Lytechinus pictus: one gene and its partners. The main gene of each other region encodes a partner of the protein of the gene in region 4 in a complex. Links are inferred from orthologs where the notes say so. Each region holds a gene or a part of one and is shown on either strand. Other genes may lie near its edges.

Evidence for each region.
Region 1: SWI/SNF complex subunit SMARCC2-like (region 4) and AT-rich interactive domain-containing protein 2-like share a complex: the UniProt entries of both Homo sapiens proteins name them as parts of the SWI/SNF-B (PBAF) chromatin remodeling complex. The link is inferred for Lytechinus pictus from reciprocal best matches to the Homo sapiens genes SMARCC2 and ARID2.
Region 2: SWI/SNF complex subunit SMARCC2-like (region 4) and protein polybromo-1-like share a complex: the UniProt entries of both Homo sapiens proteins name them as parts of the SWI/SNF-B (PBAF) chromatin remodeling complex. The link is inferred for Lytechinus pictus from reciprocal best matches to the Homo sapiens genes SMARCC2 and PBRM1.
Region 3: SWI/SNF complex subunit SMARCC2-like (region 4) and SWI/SNF-related matrix-associated actin-dependent regulator of chromatin subfamily E member 1-like share a complex: the UniProt entries of both Homo sapiens proteins name them as parts of the BAF complex. The link is inferred for Lytechinus pictus from reciprocal best matches to the Homo sapiens genes SMARCC2 and SMARCE1.

What each region holds. Positions count from the first base shown.
Region 1 is NC_087263.1:4,093,170-4,100,336, forward strand, and holds the start of AT-rich interactive domain-containing protein 2-like, read right to left. Parts: upstream 3,004-7,167; 5' UTR 2,923-3,003; coding exon 2,685-2,922; intron 576-2,684; coding exon 438-575; intron 1-437. UniProt on the Homo sapiens protein: Involved in transcriptional activation and repression of select genes by chromatin remodeling (alteration of DNA-nucleosome topology). Required for the stability of the SWI/SNF chromatin remodeling complex SWI/SNF-B (PBAF).
Region 2 is NC_087247.1:59,697,034-59,704,847, forward strand, and holds the start of protein polybromo-1-like, read right to left. Parts: upstream 3,017-7,814; 5' UTR 3,001-3,016; coding exon 2,884-3,000; intron 1,833-2,883; coding exon 1,735-1,832; intron 943-1,734; coding exon 795-942; intron 1-794. UniProt on the Homo sapiens protein: Involved in transcriptional activation and repression of select genes by chromatin remodeling (alteration of DNA-nucleosome topology). Required for the stability of the SWI/SNF chromatin remodeling complex SWI/SNF-B (PBAF).
Region 3 is NC_087247.1:14,972,004-14,978,832, reverse strand, and holds the start of SWI/SNF-related matrix-associated actin-dependent regulator of chromatin subfamily E member 1-like, read right to left. Parts: upstream 3,026-6,829; 5' UTR 2,901-3,025; intron 1,363-2,900; 5' UTR 1,345-1,362; coding exon 1,287-1,344; intron 1-1,286. UniProt on the Homo sapiens protein: Involved in transcriptional activation and repression of select genes by chromatin remodeling (alteration of DNA-nucleosome topology).
Region 4 is NC_087247.1:25,345,071-25,352,166, forward strand, and holds the start of SWI/SNF complex subunit SMARCC2-like, read right to left. Parts: upstream 3,012-7,096; 5' UTR 2,959-3,011; coding exon 2,791-2,958; intron 1-2,790. UniProt on the Homo sapiens protein: Involved in transcriptional activation and repression of select genes by chromatin remodeling (alteration of DNA-nucleosome topology).

The DNA of each region.
Region 1 (7,167 bases), on a different chromosome or scaffold from region 4:
GATATCGTTTATTCGAACATTTTCGTACGTGATTCTGCAGAAACGTCTTTCCAAACGCCCCTTTTTTCGTGTTTCATGTTTGTGATTCTAATCATGATTATATTCAATTTCGACTAAACGCAATCGTGATTCTGCAGAATTATGATTTGAATCATGATTCAGATCATGATTCTAGGGTAAAAAAGTGGCGGATAAACGCACCCTTACAATACATAATCGTGAAATATCTCTAAATAATGTCTTAAGGTCAGGAACATCATAAAAGTTAGTACGAATATGTGCAAAATCAGCACATTCAATGAGGATGTGTTTAACTGTAAGTGTTTTGTTCAGGCGAGAAAAAATATCAATTTACTGGGATGATCATACGATAGCTTTCCCATAAAATCATTGGTTGGTAGAAGTATCTTATTACTATACAAAGTGATGATATTTACCTTCTGGTTTTTTAGATCCTGGACCGATCACCTCCCTGACTTCTTTGTCACTGATGGTGTCATACCAGAACTGTACAAATTTTCTTCTCGTTTTCTCCACCCAGTCTTCTTCGTATAGCTTCCTCAAACTTCCAGGTCCTGAGAAAAAAATGAAACTCGTATCTTAACCCTAACTAGGCCGGGCTTTTTTGGCTGTTCTGTGGCCGGGGGGGGGGTTGATTCAACCCCCCCCTGAGATCTCGGCCACCGATCGCGCGAGCGCCACAAAAATTTGCACGCTGGTAGCGTGCGATGTAATCTACAAGGCTGTATGGTAAAATTTTCCAAAATAATGAGATTTTATTTTATATTAATTAATTATGCTAATTTATGCATAAATCATACTTTTTGCTCTAATTCACTAAATAAAGCTCCTAGAATGCTAATTTTTGGTAAAAATATTCTTTGTAGCATTCTTAACAATGGCAATTGAAAAAAACTTTGGTTTGGAAATCAATTTTTTATGTATTTTATTGTTTTATGAATTTCTTATGTATTTCTTTGTTTTTCAACCTTTTGTTTTTCTTTGTTTTTTTCACCAGATTTATTGCACAACCTTTTTGAAGCATACTTATGCTTAAGTCAATTGCTTTCAGCTGTTTAAAGTAAAAATAATCATATCTTTATGAATAAGATGAGAAAACTCAATTTGCATTGACTTTGTACACAAAATCACGTTTTGGAACAATTTTTGGTCTGACATGCACTTACAAAATGTTGCGTAATTTCGGAACCGCGTACCCGGGCGTCGTAAATTTGGTCTCAAAAGATGCGCGAGACTTAAAAGTATAAACTCTGCGAGTGGCGTGGTCAAAAAATTTCGCGCGGCGGAATGATCGCAGAAAATGTTGAGGGGGGGGTTGATTCAACCCCCCCCCCCGGCCATTTTAGGGTTAAAAGACCCAAATAAAAACTTGCTTTTAGAGGAAAAAGTAAAATCAGACAATTTGATAGGTGAAAGTTTGAACAATATCGGACAAACAATAGGAAAGTTATGAATTTTAAAAAGTTGTGAATATTGGTAATCACTATACCTGTGGAGATTTCAAATTGGCAACAAATGTGATGTCAAAGTGATGTAAGGCAAGGACTACTCTTCCATGTACTCCAATACATAAAATGACTAAAATTGATTTTTTTTTTCAAATGTTTTACCTCAAATTATATTTTTCTTTCATGAGGACATAAAACAATATACTACCTAGGCTATATTTAGATTACAGCCCCAGGGGAATAGGTACTTGGGAGAAAACCACAAATCCCTGATAATAAAGTACATGGCCTATGGGAAAGTTGTCCTTGCCTCTTGTCATAATTTACTTACCCAGCTGCCAATTTGAAATCTACATAGTCTTAGAGATCTCAATTTTAAAACAGCCATAACTTTCTTATTGCTTGTCCGATTTCTTTCAAACTTTCACCATTCTGTTTTATTTATTTTTCTCCTTTCAAACACAACATATTATGACCAGGACTGGATTCTCCTTTAAGGAGGCCAGGGTCCCGTGTCACAAACGATAGCGAGTGATTTTCACAAACAATTGTACATTGTGGTCTATGCAATCAATTCTCCCCAAATCACTTTATAAAACACTTCCCAGGGCCAGGGGCCATCTAACACAAAGCATAGTGCTTAATCATAGGAATTTTTTCTGCTTCATTACAATCAATCAACCATCTAAATCATCTATATGATAAATCGGTTAACTTCCAATTGATCCAATGCCACTTCGTCCAATTCTCAACTCGTCTACCATCATTTGGCTACAATTAGTTTGTCCAATATCCACATGGTCTAGTTTCCATTCCATCCACTCGCCATTTCTTTTAATAGCCACTTGGTCTAATAGCCATTTAGTCCATATACCATCTGGTCTAATTGGACTAAGTGTTAATTGGGTGAAATAAATGAAAATAAAATGGGTAGCAGACCAACTGGTTAGGAGACGAAATAGTCATAGAGGAATTGGTGATTAGACGAAGCGATGATTGGACCAAATGGTTATTAGACCAAATGGCTGTTGACGAAATGTTGATGGAAGGAATGGCATTAGACTATATGAAGATAGACCGTGTGATGAGTGGACGAGTTGGCAATAGATAAATTACTAAGCTTTGTGATATGGGTCTTGGAATAAACTTTTCTTTCACTAAAACCATTTAAAAGAAAAAAGAATCCCTGAAATATCAGGAGATCATCTCTAATACCTTCATAGAAGATGCCTGCATGTGCGAGCAGTAGGTCAATGAACATGGGTGCTTTCTCCAAGTGGATGACGTGCTTGCCTTCGTTGGAGAGCAGCGTGCAGATGTTGATGGCGAAGTCCACTTCGTTGGGGAGACCAGATTGGAGAGAATGGAGTATTCGGTCGTACTCTGACGTCCTGCATTTCTCCTTGGCAAAGCCATGTGTCTGTCTGATTTTGTCTGCATAAGAAGATATCATTTTCACAATGACAGTTTCTCAAACCAACTTGCTTTGAATTACAGTACATTTGCTATCAATTGAAAGTGTCTTTACATTGATTCAAATAATTTAAGACAGTTAAAAATGATCAAAAATAAAATAAAAACCTAAGACTTTTTAAGATGAAATAACCCCTTTACTACTGTATCACAACCCTGTCAGAAAAGGATGAAAATAAATAGTGAGATGAGAAAAACGTATACTGAAGGTTAAAACTAGAAGTTGTTGCAGGAATAATAAGCATATTATACATAGCAAAGAGTACCAGAGGCCGTTCTCATTACGCTTTCTAAAACTAGCTTACTGGAAACCGATTCAGGAAACCACTTTGGAAGATCGCTTTGCTAGCGTTCCCACTTGATCACACGAAAGTGGCTTTCAAAATCACTTTACGTAAAGCGCTCTTGTTGCTATGAAAACGCTCTCAGAGGGGTGACATGTTTCGCGCGAAATTTGAAACCGCAGCATTGGCATTCTACACCTGTCGTGTGGAGTAGCGCGCTCAAAATGTGCGAAGATCGCTTCCCGAAGAATGGTTGTGTCCTCACTTACGCTAAAACCAGTTTAACGAGGCAAAGCGATCTTGAAAACTACATCGCGAGGTGGTTTTCCAAACCGGTTTGGAAGATCGCTTCGACCGTTCTCACTACGCGTTAAACTAGTTTCCACTAAACTAGTTTTAGGAACGTAGTGTGAACAGCCTCCCAGTTAAGGGATGTTGAGGGGCTTGTATTGTAAAAAAACAGTAACAATTTTATATTCATAACCTCTGTACAGCAGGAACATTAATTTATAGATTTCAACAAAAAAATAATTCCTTCTTTTTATCAAATCACACCTTTTTTTTGTCTGGCATTTCCTAGAACCTTCACTTAAAGGGATGGTCCGGGCTGAAAGTATTTATAGCTTAATAAATAGAGTAGAATTCACTGAGCAAAATGCCGAAAATTTCATCAAAATCGGATAACAGATAACAAAGTTATTGAATTTCAAAGTTTCGCAATATTTTGTGAAAACAGTCGTCATGAATATTCATTAGGTCGGCCGACGTCACATCCCCACTTGTTCTTTTGTATGTCATTATATGAAATTAGGTTTATTCAATTTTTTTCCTCCAAGAACTAGAAAAATTGGATTGACAACTGATTTAGTGCATTAGATATTTATTGCTGCAACTTATTTCATTATAAGGGAGACATATTATTCACACAAGTATGAAATAATGAAAAAAAAATGATTTTATGTAATAACATAAGAAAACGGAAAGTGGAGATGTGACATCATTAGCCCACCTAATGAATATTCATGACGACTGTTTTCACAAGATATTGCTAAAATTAAAACTTCAATAACTTTATTTTTTCTTATCCGTTTTTGATGAAATTTTTTGGAATTTTGCTCAGTGAATTCTACTCAATGTATTAAGATACAAATATTTTCAGCCCGGACCATCCCTTTAATTCCTTTACAACTCCTATTTCAAACAATACAACATAGCAAATTTCCCTTTAAGAGGGTACTTTGAAATGAACATGTGTAGTTATTAACTTGTATTGCAAGCTGCCGGAATGCTAATCAACATATGAATGGAAATATCAAAATTCGCTTCATGGTCAGCAATAAAACCAATAGATTGGAAGTTCCCTCCGTGATATAAGATACCATCTGATCTGTAATTTCCTTCCTGTCATGTAAATTGGCAAGAAGTAGCTAGCATCAACACACTCTACCATACAACTTACTATGCTATTAGCAAATGACTATTGTTTTATGTTGCTATTTTTACAATCAATATCACTTGTGAACCTTTTCAATATTAATAATGGAGAAAGAGAGGTCTTTGGAAAGACACCTTGAATATTCGAAATGCATGTTTCCACAAGTTTTACGGGATTGGAAAATGTTGCACCTTCATACACTCATACCCCTTTCATAAACCTATCCTCCAATTAGCCGCCTAATAGTAATGCGGATAATTCAATAAAAATTGCGTTCACAAACTCTGAAAATTATCCGCATTATTTTTACGAGCGTCCGTCCTGAAAAAGGCGGATAATCGTCATGACACGCCCCCTCCGATGCGGTTGTGTTGGAAAAGGGTGACCTTGTGACCGCACCATGGCAATTATCCGCATTATTTGGAAATACATTCATAAACTCAAAATCTTGTCCCGATGCCGCTATTATGCGGATAATAGCAGCATCAGAATAATGCGGATAACTCTGGTCCTCCTCCGATTTTACGACCAAATTATGCTGCTATTAGCCGCATAATTGGGTTTATGAAAGGGGTATTACATGTAATCTGACTTTTTATAGAGGACAAGGATGATAACTGCATGTGCAATATTAGTATGGAGAAAACTGTAAGATTGACCAAAATCATTGTCCACTTTCATATCATTTTTACATGTATACATTTTGGGAAAATCTAATTTATCATATGCTCACAAATTCCAGCTATGGTCCAAAATTGATGAAATGGAACCAAACTTGTACATTCTTAATCTTAAGCACATGCAGTTCTATTTGATGTGCATATGCCTCTACTTCTTAATATCTTTTGTGATTCCTCATCTTGAGAAGCATACAGTATTGCTCGGAATAAAGTTGACGCTTTACCGCCCTGTACCGCGTAAGTCGATGTGAAATCGGGTCGCGCGCGATTACCACCAGCAAATTTCCATCGGCGGGAGTCGCGCTCTGAGAGAAATTACCACGGTAATGTACCACGAGATTTTTAAATGAAAATCTCGTGTATTACCGCGATAATACCGCAGAAGGAGGGACGATCTTCTGTCGAAGAGATATTGATTTGATAATTAATAAAATGTCACCATTTGGACAACTCTCATGGCTCGAATTAGCCCTGCTGACTTGCCGCGATGTCTCTCTCGAAATTACGATGTACAGCATGCAACAACTTATTGCCGTAAGATGCCGTCTCCTCGAAACCCAAACAAAAAAAGATCATAGAGCTGTTGAGCTTGGCGCGAGTGCACAATTTTAATGCACGCTCGTGTCATCGCCCTCAAATTTACATCTTTCTGAACTTCGTTGAATGAAAGTCGGGTCGAGATGAGATCACGTACTTTCTGGGATAAGTAGTTAATAGTTATAAGAAAATGGAGCATCCAAGATAAGAATGGACAGAGTCGAGCAAGAGAAGGAGAGAGCGAAAGATACGAGAGACAGATGGAGGGGGAAATGATCAAGAGAGAGAGAGCAAAAGAAAATGGAGAGAAAGGGGGGCGGGGTGGCTAGATTAAGCAAGAGACGCCGAGGCTGGAAAAAACAGACCTATTGTTTATTTCCTTACATTCCTTTATCGTCATTCTCTTACTTTGTTTGCAACCAGAATGATTTAATTTCATCATATTTTCAGTGCATTATTGCCAAACATTCTTCCGCCATTATGATATAAGGAATGATAAACTCCTTTTTTTCTCCCACCACTCGATCCAGTCACACAAACACAGGACGTACAGGGCTTAATTTGATTGCAACACGAATGTCCTTGACTCATGCTTAATTACAATCAGTGTTCTTTTCCCTTGTTTCCTCATATTTTATTTTTTATCGTTTTTGATGTTGATATATTTCCATTTGACCCATGTCTCACTCTTGAATTTCTACTCTATCGCTATCTCAGCTCACTTCTCCCTCGATCCCTACCCTTTTTTTCTACTCCATTCTTCTCAATCCTTTTGAATCCCTTTTTTTTGTGTGTATGTGTTTTTTTGTTTGTTATGCGACGCTCAATCTGGTGTTTATGAATTAACAAAGAAAAAAAAATTTAAGTGTCAATTTATTGTCACCCGATTGTCATAACCATATATCTTTATCAATTTTTATTAAAGGAGAATGAAACTCTTGGAGCAAGTTAGCTTTTGTGAAAGCAGAAAAATCAAAGAATAAGATCAACAAAAGTTTGAGTAAAATAGGACTAGCAATAGAAGAGTTATGAGCATTTGAATGTCGAGATCACTAATGCTATGGAGATCCTCCCATTGGCAATGCGACCAAGATCTATGATGTCACAGATGAACAACTCTCCCCTTTTGGACACTGAAAATATACCCCAAAACATCTCTTTTTGCTCATTCTAATCATATGACAAACGATTCATCAATGATATAATGTTGTGAAACCTCTGTACTTGTCCTCTCATAAAGAGAACACCTCACCTTGTGATAGACTCTATAAAAGTGAGAAATAAGTAAT
Region 2 (7,814 bases), about 34 Mb from region 4:
TGGTATAATAAAAGATATTTGATTAACGGAAAAACATCCATCACTAATTCATAGGAACTCTGGAAAAGATTTGAACGAGGTTTTTATCAACGGTAATCAAGAGGAATTAGTGTATGGATGAATGGCGTTCGAGCGTTAGCCGGTGAGGGCGCGGGCCAAATCTGGCAGTATGGCGTCGTCCATTAAGCTGACGTTAGCCAGCGGCGACTGCACGTACGTGGAAAATGTCGGGACCCCCGCAATTCGCGAAAATTTCTGTACGCGAAAATAACAGCTTGTACAGTACTGAAAACTGTCACAGAATATCGGATCAAGAATCAAGGATGTATGACAAAATGTATTCTTGAATAATGTATAAACACATTACTCAGTTTCTTTATTTTTTTCTCATACCTCTCAGAGCCTTTTTACCTAATGAAAATCTAACAATGGGATATAAGAATGGAGACCTTGAGAATTTTTGTGAATTTTTTGTTGCACAATAGCACAAAATTAATATTTATCCAGTTTAATAATAACCACATCAATTTTGAAAAGTTCTGCAATATGGTCTGTAGTATAAATGTGGTACAACATAAATACAGCTGAAACACATGAGCACAAACAAGTTGCATCGGGCTTTGTGTGGGAAGCAGGGTTTTAAAACTTGTTTTAGCCGTGTATGCAATCACCCTAATATAAGGAAAAAACAAAATAAACAAGTTGTCAAATTCTTAAATCATCCAGAAAGGGAAGTTCTGACATCTCATTTAACAAACTCTCATCTAGTTTTCAGTAAAATGTAAATATCTTACCTCATAGTAAGCCTGTGCATTATTAACCATGAGCTCAACATCAGCCACCATTTCATCCACTGTGTCGTATTCTTCTGTTTTCATACGCTGCTGAATCTTCAGCATATCAATGGGGTTAGAAACCACTTCATAATATTCTGGTGTAGTCCTGTCAAAATAGACATATGAAATGCTCATCCACCTCATAAAAATGTTGATTTGAATCAAAAGAAAAAAATTAGACAAGCATAATGCTGAAAATTTCATCAAAATCGGATGTAAAATAAGAAAGTTATGACATTTCAAAGTTTGGCTTATTTTTCACAAAATAGTTATATGCAAAATTTAGTCACATGCAAATGAGAAAATCGATGATGTCCCTCACTCACTATTTCTTGTTTTTTATTGTTTGAATTATACAATATTTCAATTTTTATAGATTTGACAATAAGGACCAACTCGACAGAACCATATAACGTTAAACATTGGTAATTCCACATGTTCAGTGAGAAATAAAACTTTGTTTCACAGGACAAAGAGGAGAAAATAAGAATACACGTATTTCATATTTCTTATAATAAAATACAAAAGAAAAAGTGAGTGAGTGCTGTCATCAGTTCCCTCATTCATCTTAAAGTTGTTCTAGTTTCAATCCAAGAGAACTTCACACAAATGTCTTATTCATGGTAACGCTATTATGAATTATCTTTAAAAAACAGGCCATATACTGTTATACAACTTGAGACACTTCAAAATCAAACAATTAAATAAGCTCTTCTACACCGAAACAACTGTTCATGTCAATAGACAGTCAACATTAAAATGAGGATTTTTCAAAGAAATTAAATGTAACCTTTTCTTATAAAGCAATGTAGTTAATTTGCAGATATGTTCACCGCTTTCACTAAAAGATAGAACCAGTGATATAATAAATTTAATATCAGGAACTCATTATATTTACCTCCTTTTGGGAATTCTGATAAGAGCTTCACATATAACTCTACCATCTTCATTCTTGTAGTTTCTGATGATGTCATATAACTCCTGAATTACTTCACCCTGTATTTTAAAAAAAAAAATCAAATATATAAATTTTTCACGCTGTAATTTCGCATTTGTAGGATGAATAATATAAATTCCTTTATAATCATACTTTTGTTTGTCTGTTTTAAATGTATTGTATAATTGTTCACCATCTTTTTTCTATGTTTTCGCATCCTATGTGTGTTTCATATGTTTGTAATGCTGGTGGAAAGCACATTTCCATGAAATTGGACTACATTAAATATGAACTTATAAAGGAGAACCTCACTATAAACCATAAATTTAAGGATATTCATATTAAGTTTACAAGCTGTACAGCAAGCTTGAATGACATTAAAAAAGGAACACTTCCTGAGTATTTAAAGCAAACTTTGGGTGAGAAAAAATCAAGTTTGTTCTTATGTCAAATTTCCTTGACTGCCATCAGAAAAGGCATTTGGCTATGCGACACTTCCCAGTACGGTACTCTATATAAAGGGTGGAAGGACTGAAAAAAATATATTCCCATCTTGATATTTTAAGGAAGATATTCTTTCGGGAAAAACATTGAAAAGGAGGAAAAAGGTGAGACTGCAAACAGCTGGACTGCAAGTGTGTCATTAAATGAATATGTGACATGAGAATTGGGACTATTACCTGTATTCTGGTCTAAGTTGTGGTTTAACTATGGATAGACAAATGTGACATAAACAGTAGAGGTTCAAATTATTAGCTCATTTTACTCTCAAAACATTCTTAACAGAGAGGGTAAATAGCATAGTTGCCTTCACCATTAAAGAATTAAGAGAGAACATGGTAAACATGAGAAAAATACAATGTAAACAATATTTTTGGCTTCCCATAATATTACTACAGGGTTGGACCATGGTCTAAGTAAAACTCTACTTCAGAATACGGGCTTATGAGTCTAGATAGCCACGGACATCTCTTCCACTTTTGGAAACAAACAATTAAATATTCATCAAATTGTTATTGTTAACAAAGAAACAAATAAACTAAATAAAGAATATCCGTACCTCCATGAAGCTTTGACAGATCATACTTCAAGATGAAATCATATACTTACAGCATCATTGACATTGACGGACCTCTTTCTTCTTTTGATAGCAACAGACGTTGGAGAAGTGTGGAGATCATCATCATCTTTAACATCAGTAGTGGTTGACCTTCTTCGCTTTGACATACTTCTTAAGATATATTCTTCTTTGTTTCATGTAAGACAAAACAAAAGAAATATTGAAAGATCAAAACACAGAGGATCCTGATTACCAATAAAAATTTTGAGCATAAACAAATTTACAACAAAATTTTGAAAAAGTTCCAGGACTAAGATTTATAATTAACAACGAAGAACAGTGAAGAGCAAATATGGAAATGCACCTTCATTAACATTTCAAAGTTCAAGGTGTATTTTTCCACATTTCCATAAAAACGTAAAAACAATTTACAATATAAGCACATATCAAATCACAACAAATATAATGTATACAAAGGAAGGATGAACAAAAGACAAACAGAGAATACCAAATACATTTTTAAAGAAGAGTGTCGCTGGGGCTTAGCGAGCACATAATATATATATATATATATATATATATATATGCAGTATAATTATTAAATCAATTAATCAAATAAAAACACATTTTTATGATGTAGTTGATCTAGTAGGCCTAAAAAATATCAAAGTCAAACTCTATTAAACATTTAATTTTCTGGTGTAAATAATTTATTTGTATCTGCGGAGAGAAAAAGAAAACACTAATCTGAATGAAATCATGATGAAGATTATTATTTATAAAAGCCTTATAAAACATGTATTCTTGACAATCGATTGATATATTACCATCTAAAAATATAGAACTTAAAATAAAGTAATAAAATCTACGGCAAAGTTTATGTGTTTCTTGATGATCATTAGGGCATTTTCACCACAGATGGACACAGAGGCAAAAAAATCAAATTGATATTCATGTCAAATGAATTATGTTTTATAATAATACAAGACCTGAAGTTTCTGGGACAATTTTTTTTTCCGACTCTGGCAGCCATTTTTTATTTCAAAATGGCCGCCAAAGTATGCATACAAATTAGTGTTGAAAATGGTATATTGATACATATTTTGTTTTGACAGATTTTTAAAGAACAGGTTTGATCATGTTTTCCCTTTGCCTTAGCTTGCTATTATAACACTTTATCAAATCCCATCTAGAAAGAAACACCAGTAATTAATTTGTCTGATAAAGAAATATTGATGAAGTATGTGATAGGGTATGTAACGTCAGTTACCAAAAACATGATTTTTTTTCTCATTTCCCAGAAAAGAGGATATATTATATGAAACTTGGTAGATTTCCTCCTTAGGTAACACCCCTCCCTTCTACACCAAAATTAAAGATAATCAATTAACAATCAAGCCATAGGATGATAGGGTACCATTAAATATGTGTAACGTCAGTTACCAAGTGGAAAATGTAACGTCAGTTACCAAGTGGAAAATGTAATGTCAGTTACCGAGATGTAATGTCAGTTACCATGATAAAATGTTGGTTACCAATAGTGAAATGCAAATGTGGTCAATTTTATGTGAAGAAATATTGTATACATGTACTTGTTATTTAAGTCTTTCACTTAGTTTAAATCACACCAGAAGGAGCTTGCTATTGACTTTTAAAAGGTACAGTGTAGTTCACAAGGAATACTAAATAAAATTATGAAGGAAGTTGCATTCCCATTGTGCAAAAAAATACACTGAAATTGTTTTGCATACGTACATGTACTTACTAAGTATATAATTGTTTTTTTTTTTTGAGGGGGAGGGGGTACTTTTCCGAACCTATTAGCTTAATATAGCACTGATAAATGTTAATGTGTAATGTCAGTTACCAACAAGTAATAATAAAAATGTTCAAGTCAAAGAAAAGGAATCATTGAAATGTTCCTAAAAACTCAGGTATACTTCCACATCAAGCTCACTTTCATGTGAAGCCCTGCACAGAAGATACAATGCAATGATTCCACACATTTGACTTCCATGTGTTATCTCTATGGCAAATTAAGTGTAGGCTAACGTCAGTTACCAGCATGGTCGTGGAAAAATTATCATAGCCCTAAAAAGACAAAAACAAATTATTCTATATTTTGACATATCTTAACCTAGTAACAGAGGTATATTTACATATTCAAATTATTACTCTATCTACTCAGGGACACGGGATATTTCAATTTTACTGAACACCCTGAAATTGCATGTATTTTTTGCGTAACGTCAGTTACCGACACATTTTTGCTTGCTGATGCGTAAAAAAATGTGGTTACACAGAAAAACTTAGTATCAGAGTATAAAGCAAGGTTCACTTTATTGACTCTATCAAAAGCAAACTCCCATCAATTGTTGTTTTGGAGATACACACAATGAAAGGTGTGAAAAATTGTGCCATGTAACATCAGTTAGAGTGAAAATGCCCAATAGCTTATTTTGCTTCCGGGACTTTCCTCCACCTCGCTGGCATACTGGGCTGAGAGTGCAAGACAGTCCGCAGTCTGTGCATACGAAGAGCATTTTGCTCAGTCACAGCTGCACAGCTCAGAATCACCCACAGACAGTGCACAAAAATTAAAAAAAAATTGCACTTGTCTTCATGATATTCTTACAGTAATTGACAGCACATCTATCTCAGCCACCCATGATTAAGAAGAAAAGTGATATTAGATTCTGGAACAAATATGACGAGGCGTTTACTGGAAGTTAGCAAAATGTTATCTGCGGGCATCGATCGTAGTTTGATACAAGATGGAAATCATACACTGAAATCATACACAATAGCGGCGCTAATGCCCCCTTTTCGATCCCGCGATACTTTGCGTGAATCTATTTGCGATAAGGTCTATTGAAATTATTTTCTGACGCGTGTGATGCTCGTGTTCGGTAATCATAATAAGCTAGGTCTATCAAGTAGTCAATCACTAAGGTTAGGCCCATACAATTATGTTGATTAAAGCTGATTTTGTATGAACTGTGAGGATTTTTTTATTGAAGATCAACTTCCAAAAAGGTCTTCATGATATCATGATAATGCGGGGTCCATCTGGCTTTCCCCCATTGGGTGATAGTCAACAGTCAAAAAAGTAAATGACTTTCCATACAAATGTGATTGTAAATATGTTAGTTATTGTAAATGTGTCAGTATTGTAAATGCATTGGTGCTTATATTCAGTCAATCCGTTGTGAGGTGTTCCCAGCAACACGTTAGAGCTAATGTAAGAATTCAAGATACAAAAGATGTTCCAGAATCGTTATTGCCACCCCTAAATACAGTTGATTGATGACACAAGTTTACTTGAAAATCCAACTCATGATACACTCTTAAGTACACAATCAATTGATGATAAACTCTCACTCTCAGAAAATACCAGAAATATTCTAAGACAGGGTGCGACATAAGCGCTTGCCCGATTGCCCGGGGGAAGTAAAAGTTAGAGTCGGGCAAGTGTTTTGAAGTAAAGACAAAAACTACTTGCCCGAATCGGGCAAGCAAAATTTTCACTGTGAAATGAAATTTTACAAAGTTTCCCCATACTTCACACTCAAAAATACAGAAGAGAGAGAGAAAAAAAACAAAGTTAACAACCTCCCTCAATTCAAATTGCAAGCCAGTTTGCGACATTTTTTGTGATCTACACACAAAAACACACACACAGTCAGCATACATACATGTGGCTGGTGCGTCCAGCTCAGATTCCAGCCTATGTGGCAGGCATGCATGGATCTCCATGCTGCTGTGCATACCTGTACTATCCCCGATCAAACTCCGAATCAAAGTGACCAAGCTCACATGAAAAATAGTTTTTCCAACAAAATAATCACAAAATCGGCGAAAAATTGTTATACTTATATGGATTCTCAGATTACTGATTTGGTGATGTGATCGGAGGAGCAAGTTATTGAGTTTTCATAACCAGTTTCGGCCGTTGTTTTGAGTGTTTTGATCGGTGTAGTGGGAAGAAAGATGCGTGCAAATCCACGATGCCGCGATGATTCATTTGATTTTTAAGTTTGTCAATGTTTCTCTGTGAAATGTTTTTAATTTCTAAAACTTTTATTTTTCCAACAATTTTTAAAATATATTTCAAACAAATATCAGCAAGATTTTTGTTAGATGATTGCATTTTTTGTTTTGTTTCAAATTTGAGCTTTCTTCCTCTTTCTTTCTTTTTCTTCCTTCCTTCCTTCCTTAATCCTTACTTCCTTTCTTTCTTTCTTTCTTTCTTTTTCTTTTCTTTCTTTCTTTTCTATCCTTTCTTCTATCTTTCCCGATTGCCTTTTTTTGTTCCATCTATCTTTTCAATCTTTCCTAGCTTTCTTTCCTGATCTTTTTTTTTTCTCTCTCTGTTCATTATTCTTTGTTTCCTTTGTTTTCTTACATGTACTTTCCTTCTTTCTTTAAATTTCTTCATTTTTTCTTTCCTCTAATTTTTCTTTGCTTCCTTTTCCCTTCCTCTCCTTTTTCTTTTTGTTCTGTCTTTTCCTTCTGCCATTATTTTCTTCTTTTTTTAATTCTCTCTTCACTTCATTCTTTCCTTCCACTAAAGTTTTATCCTTTTTTAAATTCTTTATTTTCTTCTTTCCTTCTCTTTTTCCTTATTCTTTCTTTCCTTTTTTGCTATTTCCTTCCTTCCTGAAATTCCCCTTTCTTTCTTTCTTTATTTTCTTTTCTTTCTTTCAAAAAATGCAGGAAATCTTTTTTCTTCATTCTCTCATTCTTCCCTTTTTCTTACTTTCTTTTCCCTCCGGCTTTTTTATTTCTTTCCATTCTTTTCTTTCCCTTTTTCTTTATTAATTTCAAAGAATGAAGGAAACCTTTTTTTTTCTTTCCTTTATTCTTTCTTTCTTCTCCATTCATCTCTTTTCTTTCCATTTTTTCTCTCTCTCCTTCACCCATTCGTTCACATTCCCTCTTTCTTTCTTTCTTTCTTTCTTTTTTCCTTCCTTCCTTCCTT
Region 3 (6,829 bases), about 10 Mb from region 4:
GGACAAAAGGATAAAACAGATTTACAATACTCATACACACAGACATAAAAATTAAAACATATAATTGATTTGACATATGTATATTTTTTTAGATACATGTTCACTTCAATTCCTCACTGTTATTTACCACCCCCCCCCCCAAAAAAAAAAAGGTAAATCAATTTTAATAAGAATTCATTTGGAAGCTTTTAAACTCAATCTGCGAAGTTTTGAAACAGGTCACATCTGTCACATGGTCCAAGGGGACCGTTTTATTAATTATGAATGATCAAGGTAACTTTGGTATAATGAGGATGCAAATTAAGCCAAGAAGTGGCCATTCCAGGCCATGGATTTCAACTACTACCATGGAAACCTTCATATATTTTAGCTGCTGAGTCCTGTTACTCTGAAAATACTGATGATCATTGTGTTATGTGATATCTCACATATTCATTGATATATCAATACCTACATATACATGTATGTAATTAATACTTAATCAATTCTTCTGCAGGAAGTATAACAGGAAACTATATGTTTACCAATTCCAACTTTCTTTAGAAAGTATTACTCATTTTTCTTCTAGCTAAACCTCTGATGCACACTCATTTTATGGGTTTCTTATTTACTACATTCCCCCTTCTCACTAAATTGTCCACTCCCCCAATTCAGAATCAAGTTATAACATACAGATTATTATTTAAGGCTGTCCAACAACTGTCTGGCTATAGTCTTGATTTGACTGTGATAAAAAAGGTTCACTTGAGAACTCCAGTCAGATTGGTTTTGAGTTACAAAAGACTTTATGTTTTATACCAAATCAGCTTAGTCTTCTTAGGCGTCGAAATAGCCCAGTCTATTTAGGGTTAATAAGTACATACGAACTGTACATCTCATCTTCCTTCATCTTCATTATAAGGGGGTGTTGCAAGAAAATATTTGCGATCACTTGCAAATATTCTGTTCTAATTTTACAATTGATAGATCAAGTTTAGCTGTAGCAAATCAGATTACACTCTTTTTTTCAGGAAGCAGATTAGCATAGCAATCAATCACAAACTTGTAATTAATTGCAAGACTTATGATTGATTGGGGACCAAAAATTGAATTGCAATTGATCACAAGTTTCTTGCAACACCTCATAAGACTGGTTGAAAGCCAAAGTGCCATTGATCTGACAAATTCATAAAAATAGATTTCTTTTTTAAAAAGGACCCTGGTGTACATACATGTACATTAAAATTTATCTGTAAAAACCTAATTACACACTTGCAAGAAAGATGATTTTCATGCCAAACACTTACAGGATTGAAGGGATGTATTCATAAACCCTCCCATACTCCTTCTGGAAGCTCCAGACATCTTGATTGTTCTAACCACCTATGAAAAAAAAATATAACAGGATCTATGATCATTCATATTTACCAATCAATGGTTAGCACAATTACATATAGGCCTGTGTAATGCCAGAAGAAAGCGAATTTTGAAGACAAACAGATCAGGATCAGCCAGGTTCTTCTTTGATCGCTCGATCACCATCAGCACAGCTGATGACAAGGACATGAGCAAGCAATAACCGTAAGTAACGGTCTATTAACCGCACCTTTTTCTCGGCGGGATAGAAGCAAAAGTCGGGGGTGCGGTTTATCCACGGTGACGGGTCTGAGCCAGCCCGTCGTAACCCCTCTGCCAGTTCACAACACATCGAGTGGCCAGGCGTAGCCGCCCAGGGCAATGTCGTTTAGAGGGGAATGAGCTGTGGGTAATGAGAAGCGATTATAACAAACGCACCCACCTTCATGACACTAATTTCGAATTTATTCTCGGTTCAAAGCAGCGAAGTTCCCTGGCTAAGTTCAAAGAGAAGCCAAGCATACTCGGTAATATTTTGTCACAGCTGATCGAGCGCAAGAGTTGAGTTAGCTGAGCTAGCTTGCATTGTATTGTGGTTTCAGTGCGACTTAAGCTGGCGCTATTCATTTTAACCCTCGATCCCCTCCAAAGTCCCGTTTCGCGCCAGCTTATTTTTTCTTTCCTGTTTGCTTTTCATAAGATACCACCTACACCACGCAACGAGAGAGACGGCACGAAGCCGTCAAAACAACTGTAAAAAATGACAATTTCTTTGTTTCTTGAACCTTCCTGTAATCCCGTATCCAAAATTCATGCCAAGACATCGAATACTAGACAAATTCTGAAAGTGATTGTGAGTTTGTGATGCAAGAAATGTGAATGTTTCTTCCTCCTACGGCGGGAAAGACACAGATCATTATTTGATAAGATGTACTGACACTGGTACCGTATCGTAGTTTGCAATGTACAAGAACGGCAGTGCTGTGTGTGTGTACACCGTGACTGTGTAAGTGGCCAATATTGTAGGGACCTTTCTTTCTTGCAAACATTTGTAGATGAATCAATCAAGAACAGCAGATTTCTGCATACCGGTAATCTCTTTGGATACTTTGAAATCTTTAACTTAGACTTAGTTTTTGTTTCTTCGTACCTCAAATATAATGTGAGGATTTTTTTTTTTTTTTTTTCTTTTTAGTCCAAAGTAGTTGGGGGTGCGGTTTATAGTCCGTTACTTACGGTACTGGTGGGGAAATTTGTTGTTTGAAAGTGGCCGGTGCGAAACTGCATCAGCGCCAGCATGCCATGGCGACCTTCCTTGCACGTTATTTACTAATCGCCGAGCCCGCGACGCAGGGCGCTTTGAACTTCCACGTCTGCATGCGACGCTATGCGGGAAGTGCTGGGGACCAAAGCGGCGACGCGATGCCTTGCTGAACAAAGAAAGCAAAATGGCACAGTAGAAAAAGATTTGTTATTTATAATTTTCATTTTTTACATCATCACACAATAAAATCAAAACAATTTTAGGTTTGCTTAACAATGAATAGAATTACACATATACTTACCTACAGCAAGAACAATATGTTTTCTCCCAAATGTGGAAAAAAAAGAAGTCTTTTACGGCAAGTTTAGTTTTTTCCGGCAGATTCTTCCCCGATGTAGTCTAATTTTCAGACGGCAATTTAGTTTTATTTTCCAAGAAGATCGGAGGATCAAAACAGAGAGGGGGGGGGGGGTTCTTCTTTTTATTTGGCAATCAGTCAATTTGACTATTTTCGCCATCATAAATATTGTATTATTAACGTTATTTTCTTTGATTTTTTTTTTTATAAAGTAATATTCAAATATTTCTTTCTTATTCTTTTTTTTTCTTTTTCTCTTCTTTTTCTTTTCTATTTATTTTTATTATTATTTTTTTTTTATTTTTAGGTTATCTACAAGGATTTAAAGTCGAGAAGGTGTGTCTCAAAAATTAAAACCAGGGCTTTTACTGAAAATATGTTAGATATATAGGTCTACTAGTATGCAAGTAAACCTATAGGATGGAGATGACAGAGAAAAGAAATGAAGAAAATCACAGCTCCAATCCTACACTCGTATACCGGAGTATATAAGCTGTTTCAACTTATCTTTTGGTTTACAGTCCTTTTCAGGACTACATTCAAGAAAGATTACTCTACTCTCAAATTTCCACTTTCTCGCCTATCCATTTCTTTTCTTTTTTCTTTTTTCTTTTTATTTTTTCTTCTTCTATCCACTGTTTCTATAATACTCCACATGGTGTACCGTACGTAAACCACATCAGCGAATATTAATTCTATATAACAAACTACTTAAATTGCCATTTCATGACAATTTATCAAAATTATGGCTCGCGATTTGCGCTCGTATTGATTGTTGAAAATAATTTTATTCACACATGCATCTTATTCATAATTACAAAAGTGCATTAAATGTACAGTTTTCAGGCCATAATATTAACAGATTTCACGCTCTCATTAGGCTTATTAGATTAATAAATAAGATTAATATAATATTAATAATCAAATTAATTGTCCCTTTTTCAGAATGGAATATCGAAAAGTGTCATCTCGCGCTTAGGAGGGAAATAGGAAGGTAGTTATCATTCACATGATGACAGTAATGTTCTCAGAATGTCCCGGTCTTATGTCAAAACTCAAATGATAACAATGAAACACATCAGCTCTTATTTAAAGGAGAATGAAACTCTTGGAGCAAGTTAGCTTTTGTGAAAGCAGCAAAATCAAAGAATAAGATCAACAAAACTTTGAGTAAAATAGGACTAGCAATAAAAGAGTTATGAGCATTTGAATGTCGAGATCACTAATGCTATGGAGATCCTCCCATTGGCAATGCGACCAAGATCTGTGATGTCACACACGTACAACTCTCCCATTTGGACACTGAAAATATACCCCAAAACATCTCTTTTTGCTCATTCTAATCATATGACAAACGATTCATCAATGATATAATGTTGTGAAACCTCTGTACTTGTCATCTCATAAAGAAAACACCTCACCTTGTGATAGACTCTATAAAAGTGAGAATATAAGTGAAATAAGTACTAAAGTAATGAGGGAGTTGTACGTGTGTGATATCACAGATCTTGGTCGCATTGCCGTTGGGAGGATCTACATGGCACTAGTGATCTCAATATTCGAATGCTCATAACTTTCTTATTATTCATTCAATCTTCCTCAAACTTTCAACAATATGTTTCTTTGATTTTTCTCTTTGATATGGATTCAGCTGGTTTCAAGGGTTTCATTCTCCTTTAACAGTGATCCATATCCACCTCACCATTTTTCTACAAAGTGCTTGAAATACAGAGCTTAAATTGACCCTTTTTCAGATCGGAATATCAAATATTTTAAGCTCGCGCTTCGCGCTCGCTTTACTCATCCTTTTCATGATTTACAAAACATGAATAGAGTGTCCCATTTTTAGGTGTAAATGTCTTTTTTTTTTTTTGGTTGAGTTATATACTTATTCTTTTCATGATTACAAAATGTGCTTAGAATTTTTATTCTTCAGGTAGAAAATGTCAAAATTTTCAGCTCGCGCTTCGCGTTCGCATTATTTGATTGTTGAAACAATATTATTATGTAACGTCTTCATAGCTAACTGCAAGCAGCTGTTAACAGATTTTTTTTATCAGATCAAAACGTATATTAATTATTTAGTTGGATACACATCTCGTTTAGGATAAAAAAAAACATAGCCCAGAATGTTTTAATTTTAGGACAAAATATATGAAATGAAAAATAATTTAAAAAAATAGCTCGTGCTTCGCGCTCGCTCTTTTTTAAAAGGTTTATGAGATTATTATATATATATACGTTGATTTATAAGATTAAAGCTTGTGTGACTTTTAGGACTATATACCCCTTCAAAGAAACAAACAAAAATCAACTTCGAGCGGCCGATCGGGGAAAATGTGGCTGAAAAAAATTCCGCCCCCCAATTGGCGAAGGCTGGATCCACCCCTGATACGTCTCAAATAGCCCAGTCCTTTTAGGGTTAAGGGTGTTGTGATAAATTTATGATCAACCGTGACTAGTTTTGTTGTTAAGCAAATTTCATGAGTGAACACAAATTGCACTTAATTTGGGGCAGCATTTCAACTTTATCACGTGGATCTCAGCAATGTGATCATGAGAGTCGGGAGAATATAGGGGATGAGATAGGACTCGAGTGGGAGAAGAGGTTGATGGAAGGGTCAACAGAACATTTAGCCCCCCCCCCTCCCTCTCTCCCGCCCTCACCTCCTGTTGAGAGACTGATTGCTATTACATGTACGCATGAAGTCCAGAGCAGGATGTTGACTTGATGATAAATTCTGAATTGGGGAATCAACCTTACCTATCAATCATTAATTTTTAATCAACAATTAATTAATAAATCAACTCATTCAATGTGCGATGTGATCAACCAAACATTCATTTTTTTTCAATAAATTATTTCATAAATCATCATAATCAGTCAATATCTTGGTAATCATTGGTGAGAGAATGAAAGGAAGTGAGGTACGTTCAACTGAATAGGGACATCATTATCTAAGAATTATGAGTCGCATCTAATATGTTTTGAAGTCGGAAGTAGAAGGGTGGTTAATAGAGACAATAACAGCAAGTTAAGACAGTTCAAGGAAATACAAAGATGTTATCCTTACAATGAGTAAATTAATTAGCACTAATTGGATCATACGTGATCTACAATGCAAAGAGTGAGCAACAGTGGACCGACATGACACTTGATTGATTGATTGATTGATAACGAATTTATTTCATTCCACTTCATTCTCATTCTGAATTTCCAATTTCCCCAATATGATTGTTGGACATCCAGAGATAATTATTTGCTATAAATTTTCCTGGCATTATTATGCTGTTCAGGTTGGCGTAAGGACTGATTCCACTTCCCTTTTCCCCGGGCCTTTTCCTTATACTTCACCCCCCTCTCTTCCTCTTTATCTATATTCCCCTCTCACCTTTTTCCTCTCTACTTCCTAACCTATACCATATACCCTTTCTTTTCCATCAGCCCTTGCTTCCTCATTCTCCCCATCGTAATCTCTTTTCGTTCCAACATTATTTTATCATCATCATCCGTACAGTCCACCAGGTTGGTGTATCATCGTACCGTGTAGAATTAAAAAAAAAAAAAAAAAAATCAGCGCAGTCTTAGCGCAATTGGATTTTCTGCACCTCAGCCTTGAAGCTATAGCTACCGAAGTGCAGTTAACTGTAATGGCAGGGAGAATATTCCACAGTCTAATGGCATCAGGAATAAAAGTTTTCTGATAAGTAACAGTGCGAGCATGTGGGACGTGTAACCTCATCTGATGACCACGAAGCGAAGTGGTCATCAGAAGCATTTATGTATGCCAGACTGTAATATATCATATAATTTGCCGAAGAAAATCACACCTTTTATATATATAAAATATAAATTCAAGATTTAGGTCTTC
Region 4 (7,096 bases):
TCTTTCCATTCAAAAAACAGATATGTCATGAATCTTTATCAATTTTGAGATTATTTGATAACATATCATACAACACAGTCAGTAGAGGCGCACGGCCAATATAGGAGACTGTCTCCTATGAGAGAGATTCTCTAAATAAAAATGTGATAAGCAGATTCCTCATGAAAAATTACCCATTTTCACCGTCTACTTTAAAAATTCACCGTCTACTTTTGTTTTGATAAGGATTTTTGTTGTCATCCACACACAAAACAAATGGGCTTCTGACCTCAGTGAGACAAAATTCTGGGTGGAAAAAATTACGCTTTTGTTGGTGTCGTTTCTTTTGTTCTTTTACAAAGCAAGTCTCCCATATTGGAGAGTCTCCCGGCATTGGCCGTGCGCCTCTACTGACAGTATGCTCCGGGAACAAGCATGTACACATAAAATATTATACATCATATTGATATGATTATGTTTCCACCTCAAAACTGTTTGCCGATCTTTATGAATCTTTTGAGACTAAATATAAGGAATGTGATTTTCTATTTACTGGTAAATAAAAATGGAAAATTTGTCTTGGTTCTTTATTTGTCATGAGAAAATTCAATATATTTACACAATGTACCTTGGCTACAAAATGCTTTGCATGTTTTCTACAGTATAATGAAACAGAATTTCCCTTAGAGATTAACTCATCTGTTCATTAAGCAGTAGAAGTGCACGGCCAATATGGAAGACTGTCTCCCATGAGAGAGATTATCTCCAATATCAGAGACTTTTGTAAAGAATTTGGGTATCCAATTTCAGAGACAGTCTCCAGTTTGGGAGACCAATTTCCTTTGTTTACATTTGCTGCAAAAGGATTACCTTGGCGGCAAATAAAAATGTGATAAGCAGATTCCTCATGAAAAATTACCCCTTTTCACCGTCTACTTTAAAAATTCACCATCTACTTTTGTTTTGATAAGGATTTTTGTTGTCATCAACACACAAAACAAATGGGCTTCTGACCTCAGCGAGACAAAATTTTTGATGGAAAAAAATATGCTTTTGTTGGTGTTGTTTCTTTTGTTCTTTTGTAAAGCAAGTTTCCAATATGGGAGATTGTCTCCCCTATTGGATAGAGTCTCCCATATTGGCCGTGCGCCTCTACTGTTAAGTTTGAAACGGAATTACAAATTTTCAGAAACAGAAAAGATCATTAAAAAAAACAGAACACTGTAACTACCATTATTATGTCTATTATTACATATTATTCCAGGGCACTCTGTCTTTTCGAAGACCATGTTACACCCTAAATTTTATTATCAATCATGTTTCCATCTCAAAATCTTCATTCATTTCTGCCGACAACTGACAAGTATACTAGTACTACTCAAGTACTATTATTACATTCGCTCCATCCAAATAATATGTCAACATCTTCTTTAGACCAAAAGCTTCAGTCTCTGTATTTTGGTTGTTCCGCTGAACTACGTTGGCTCCACTCACCATACATAGACTGAAGGGGATGGGGCCCCGTACCTACAGCCAACGTATAGTGAACTAGCGTTTTATAGATCGCGATTTAAAACTGTTTTTTAAGCAAAATTGAAAGTTTCATGGTTTCCATTATCAGGGAAATATAAAAAACTTAAGTAATTGCATACCTTGGGCCGGAGTTATTGAAAAAAATCCTCTGGATGATTGAGAAATCTGTCATCTAAGACATTTTCACCTGACCTGACGGTTTTTCTTGCAAGTTGCCATCTTGAATGACGTCATTATCGTTATTAACTTAATGTCTCGAATCGATATATCGCGATTATAACTAGTACTAGTACTAGTATAAGTAGTATCGTTTATCTTCGGTTTCGTTCGCATATGGAGCAGATCGTATAATATCGAAAGCAATATCGATATCACATTCGTGATTGTTGACGTTCGTTTGTAAATATTTTATAGTGTGGCTGCCATTTTGACCATTTTTATCGTGTTCAACCCAATTAAACATCGGTAAAGTATATTTTTCATGCCTTTTTCATCTATATCGTTTAAAGTATTTAAACATTTAAATATCAACTTTTAAAAGTTTGTTGTTTATACATCCTTAGATTGTAAATTCGATGTGTAAAATTACATCAAACTTTGGACTGTGAATTGACAAAAGGGAGGGAATGAGAACACATGCGAGCCCACACGTACACCCTACCGTCGGTAAATGGGGATTACAGTAAAATGTCAGAAATTGTTGAATAAATCCCCAGAAACGACGGTTATTCCTGTCTACATCTTCTTGTGCACACAGCTGCCAACAAATTCCCTTTTTTTTTTTTATCAATGTCAGATCTATTCTAGCCTGTTAACAGAAAATTAACAATATCTTTTTTTGCTGATTCAATTTTGATTGTTTGAAATTGAATCACTGACTTGTGACTTTGTCTTTGTGTTGAATTTGAACTGCGGAATCTAACTATATTTTTCACATTAAATAAAAGACAGAGACACAACATAGGAATAGATGAGAGAATGAATTACAATTCCTCTTGATACATTTAGCTGAAAATGACCGCAAATGTCAGCTATGTTGGAAAACTCGCCATAAAATAAAGACTCGGTCTCGGGTTCAGCTTAGCCTTACTAGGGCTCCAGGCAAGCCCAGGCACAGGCCTTGGCTCCGGGGCGCTGCCGCCATGGCCGCGGCGCGGCGAAGCAAGTAGAATTCGCAGCCGCACACGAATTATCTCAGACTCGGAAAAGGTACGGTAGTTTGATCGAGCATTATATTGACTGTAATATGACAATTTCTGGCCCCTAAACAATACTCACCCTCTTGCAATTTCTTTGAAGCCATGATTTCACATTATCAAGCTGGGAAGCAATGTCAGCGGACTCAAAAAACTTGAAATCAGCACCACCGTCCTTCTTTCGGATAGCCATCTTTTGTCTTTCTCGTCTTTTGTACACCCGCAATAATTGAACGAAACTGTCGTTCATTTTTGAGCGGCATGGAGCTGGTGGTCAAGTTTTGCGTTGCCAATTTTATTACTAACAGGTATTTTAAAATGATTGCTGCTCGCATGCCAGTAAATCAAAAAAGTAAAATAACAAAGGATAGCCTTATTCTTAATTGTAACAGAGAAAAATTTATTACATTCAAACATGACAAATCTTCAATGTAGATCTTCATAAAAGTTGAGGAACTCGGTAGGCCTATAGCAAGAAAAATGTGGAGCAGATCGGCCCCGAGATCGGCCTACTGAAAAGACAATTGTCAGCATAGGCGGATCCAGGGGGGGGGGGGGGGCCCAAGGGGCCCGGCCCCCCCCCTATTGGCGGAGCAAAAAAAAAGGAAAGAAAGAAAAAACAGGGGGAAAAGGAGGGAAAAGAGGAGAAAAAGAAGAGGATTAAGATGAGTTGATAAAATAAGATGAGGGGAAGACTTAATTGGAAAAAGCTTTCATGTCACTCATGGTATAAAAATTTCGCTCGCGCTTCGCGCTCGCATTGCCTGTTAGGTGATTTTCATATCTTGTTCAATATGAAGTTTAAAAATCAAGTTTGGAAGTCAATATACAAAACATATTTCACCTCGGAAATCGAACTTTCATTATTTTGTGTGATTTACAAATTGTTTTTAAAAAGTGCTTTGTAAAGATGTCAGTTTTATGGTCTAAAATATTAACATTTTCTGCTCGTGCTGCGCGCTCGCAAATTTTGATTTATCAGGTACCTATTATTTTTGTGTATTCCATTAAATTTTCAAAATATTCTTTTCAGGTCTGAAAGTCAAAACGTATCAGCTAGCGCTGCACGCTCGCATTTTGATCGGCGAGTTATGTATATGTCGCAATATTGATTATACAACAAACTATACTTTAAATCCCCTTTTCATGACAGTTCATCAAAAACTTTGGCTCGCGATTTGTGCTCGCATTAATGGTTAAAATATATTAACTTGATGCATCTTATTTATAATTACACAAGTGCTTGAAATGTCCAGTTTTCAGGCCATAATATCATCAGATTTTGCGTCCTCAGGCGTTAATGAATAAGACATTAATTTAATGATTAAATTGTCCATTTTGTTTCATCTCGCACTTAGCAAGAGGAATAGGAAGACAGTTATCATTTTGATATGCATTTCCTAAGGATGTCCCGGTCCTATGTTAAAACTCAAAGTAATAATAATTAAAATATCAGCTCTTTATTAAGTGCGATCCATATCCACCTCACAATTTTCCTACAAAGTGCTTGAAATATAGAGCTGAAATTGACTGTTTTTTCAGATCGGAATATTAAATAGTTTAAACTCGCGCTTCGCGCTCGCTTTGATTTTCATAATAAAAGATGTATTAAGAATGCCTAGATTCAATATCTAAATATGAAACACGCGCGCGTATTCAGATAGTCAACTTGTTCTCTATTTAAATCATTATCCAGTTTCAGATCACCGTAAATATCAAAAATTTTCTGCTCACGCTTTGTGCTCGCATTATTAATGTAGGTAGACCCCTACTCATTCTTTCATGATTTACAAAACATGAATAGTGTCCCGTTTGTAGGTCTAAATCTCGATTTTTCCGCACGCGCTTCGCGTTCACATCAATTGTTTAATTATAATCCTGTTCACGATTACAAAAATTGATTAAAATGTTACATTCTTTATGTAGAAAAGTAAAAAATTTTCAGCTCGCGCTTCGCTCTCGCATTATTTGATTGTTGAAATATGTAACGTCTTCATGCCTAAGTGCAAGCAGTCCTTAACAGGTACATTTTCGATCTGTTCAAAACGTATATAAAAAAATTCTGCTCGCGCTCTGCGCTCGCATTATTAATGTAAGGAAGATCCCCACTTGCATCCTTTTCATGATTTACAAAACCTGAATAGAGTGTCATGTTCAGTAGGTTTAAATCTCGAATTTTTCCGCTCGCGCTTCGCGTTCGCATCATTATTGTTTACTTATATACCTATTCTGTTTAAGTTACAAAAAGTGCTTCCATTTCTTAGGTAAATTTGTCATAAAATTTCAGCTTGCGCTTCGCGCTCGCATTATTTGATTTTTAAAATATGTAGCGTCTTCATGGCTAACTGCAATATTTAACAATACCTTTTCCATCAGTTCGTTTCTGCTCGCGCTTCACGGTCGTAGTAATTTTTCATTTGCATACACATCTTTTTCAGGATAACAAACATTGCCCAGAATGTTCAAGAACTTAGAAAAAAAACCCACAATATTTCCCCCAAAAAATAGCTCGCGCTTCGCGCTCGCATTGTATAAATAAGGATTATGGTATTATATATTTATGTTTATTCATAAGAATAAAGCTAAGAAGTGACTATTAGGACTACCCCTTCAAAGAAACAAAAAAATCCCGGCAAAAATCATCTTCGAGCGGCCGATCGGGGAAAATATTGCTGGAAAAAATCCGGCCCCCCCCCCTATTGGCGAAGGCTGGATCCGTCTCTGGTCAGGTTATGTTCCCCAATGTGCCAAGCCTCTAGCACTAGTAATCTAGTATATTCAAATTCTCATTAAAACATAAACTATAACCCCCTTTACAAAAATTGAAACTCAGTTGTACATAAAAATAAACACACGTACGGAACACGGCGCAATTGTGAGAGCCAGCATAGAGACCATTATGTCTATATAGTGAAGGCTCTCATATCATGGACCTATAGGTCCATGCTCATATCAAACTCCAGCAGGGGCCAGTAGGCCTATATTCAGATGTTCGAGAAGATTCATACAAGGATGTTTAGCCAAGGCAAAGTGATATGAATTATGAATTAACTTATCCGGGGGACTTATAAAAGGGATGGCCCGGGCTGAAATATTTATATCTTAATACATAGAGTAGAATTCACTGAGCAAAATGCCGAAAATTCCATCAAAAACGGATCACAAATAATAAAGTTATTGAAGTTTAAAGTTTACCAATATTTTGTGAAAATAGTCGTCATGAATATTCATTAGGTGGGCCGATGATGTCCCACTTTCTTATGTTATTACATAAAATCATAATTTTTTCATTATTTCATACTTGTGTGAATAACTTCTCCTTATAATGAAATAAGTTTCATCAATAAATATTTTATGCACTAAGTCAGTTGTCAATCCAATTTTTCTAGTTCTTGGAGGAAAAAAATTGAATAAACCTAATTTCATATAATAAAATACAAAAGAACAAGTTGGGATGTGACATCATCAGCCCACCTAATGAATATTCATGACGACTGTTTTCACAAAATATTGCTAAACTTTAAAATTCAATAACTTTGTTATTTGTTATCCGATTTTGATGAAATTTTCGGCATTTTGCTAAGTGATCTTCTACTCTATTTATTAAGTTATAACCACTTTCAGCCCAGACCATCCCTTTAAGTACGAAATCTAAAATAGTTGTGAAATATAGGGAGGATCAGCAAGCCATGCACGAAGCCAAAAGATAAAAAACAGCAATAAAATTTGAAATGAATGGTGAAATCAAGATAGGGCCTACTTTCTTTAGTGGAGGAAGTTAAAATTCATGGTGATAATTTACTAATGGAAGACGAAATGACAAACATGACTGGTTATATAATCGAAATGAGAAGTAATATTTTCTCCCTTTTATTTTCTGAAGACTTGTATTTTATTTTTGCACTTGTCTCCACTTTAAGTATGAGCCTTATTTTTTCTTCCAATGGACATTTATTTACTCGCTAAAAAGGACTATTTCAAATAGGGCCTATTGACAGAAAGAGTTCATCTAATTCCTATACTTTTTTCATCTCTCCACTCATTTGTGTATTTCTTCTTTTCCGCAAGCGGACCGTATATTAATTTTCACGGTTTGTTTATTTGTTTTTATTTCTGCATAAATTGATAGTCGTAATTACAAAACGAGGTTGTACATTTCGTTAAGGGAAGTCCACTCCAACAAATAAAAATCAACACTGAACATCATCTAAATCGGATGTAATGAAATTTTTGAGGAGGGTTATTTAAATAAAATATATATCGGATTTCCTTTATATTGCACCGTGAGGCGTGAGCAAAGAAATGAAGTGTCTTTTTTTTTTTTGCTGTTTCTGTTGGCAAACGCGGGGACTGGGGGCGGGGCAACCGCAGAACCCTGCCTGAACCCT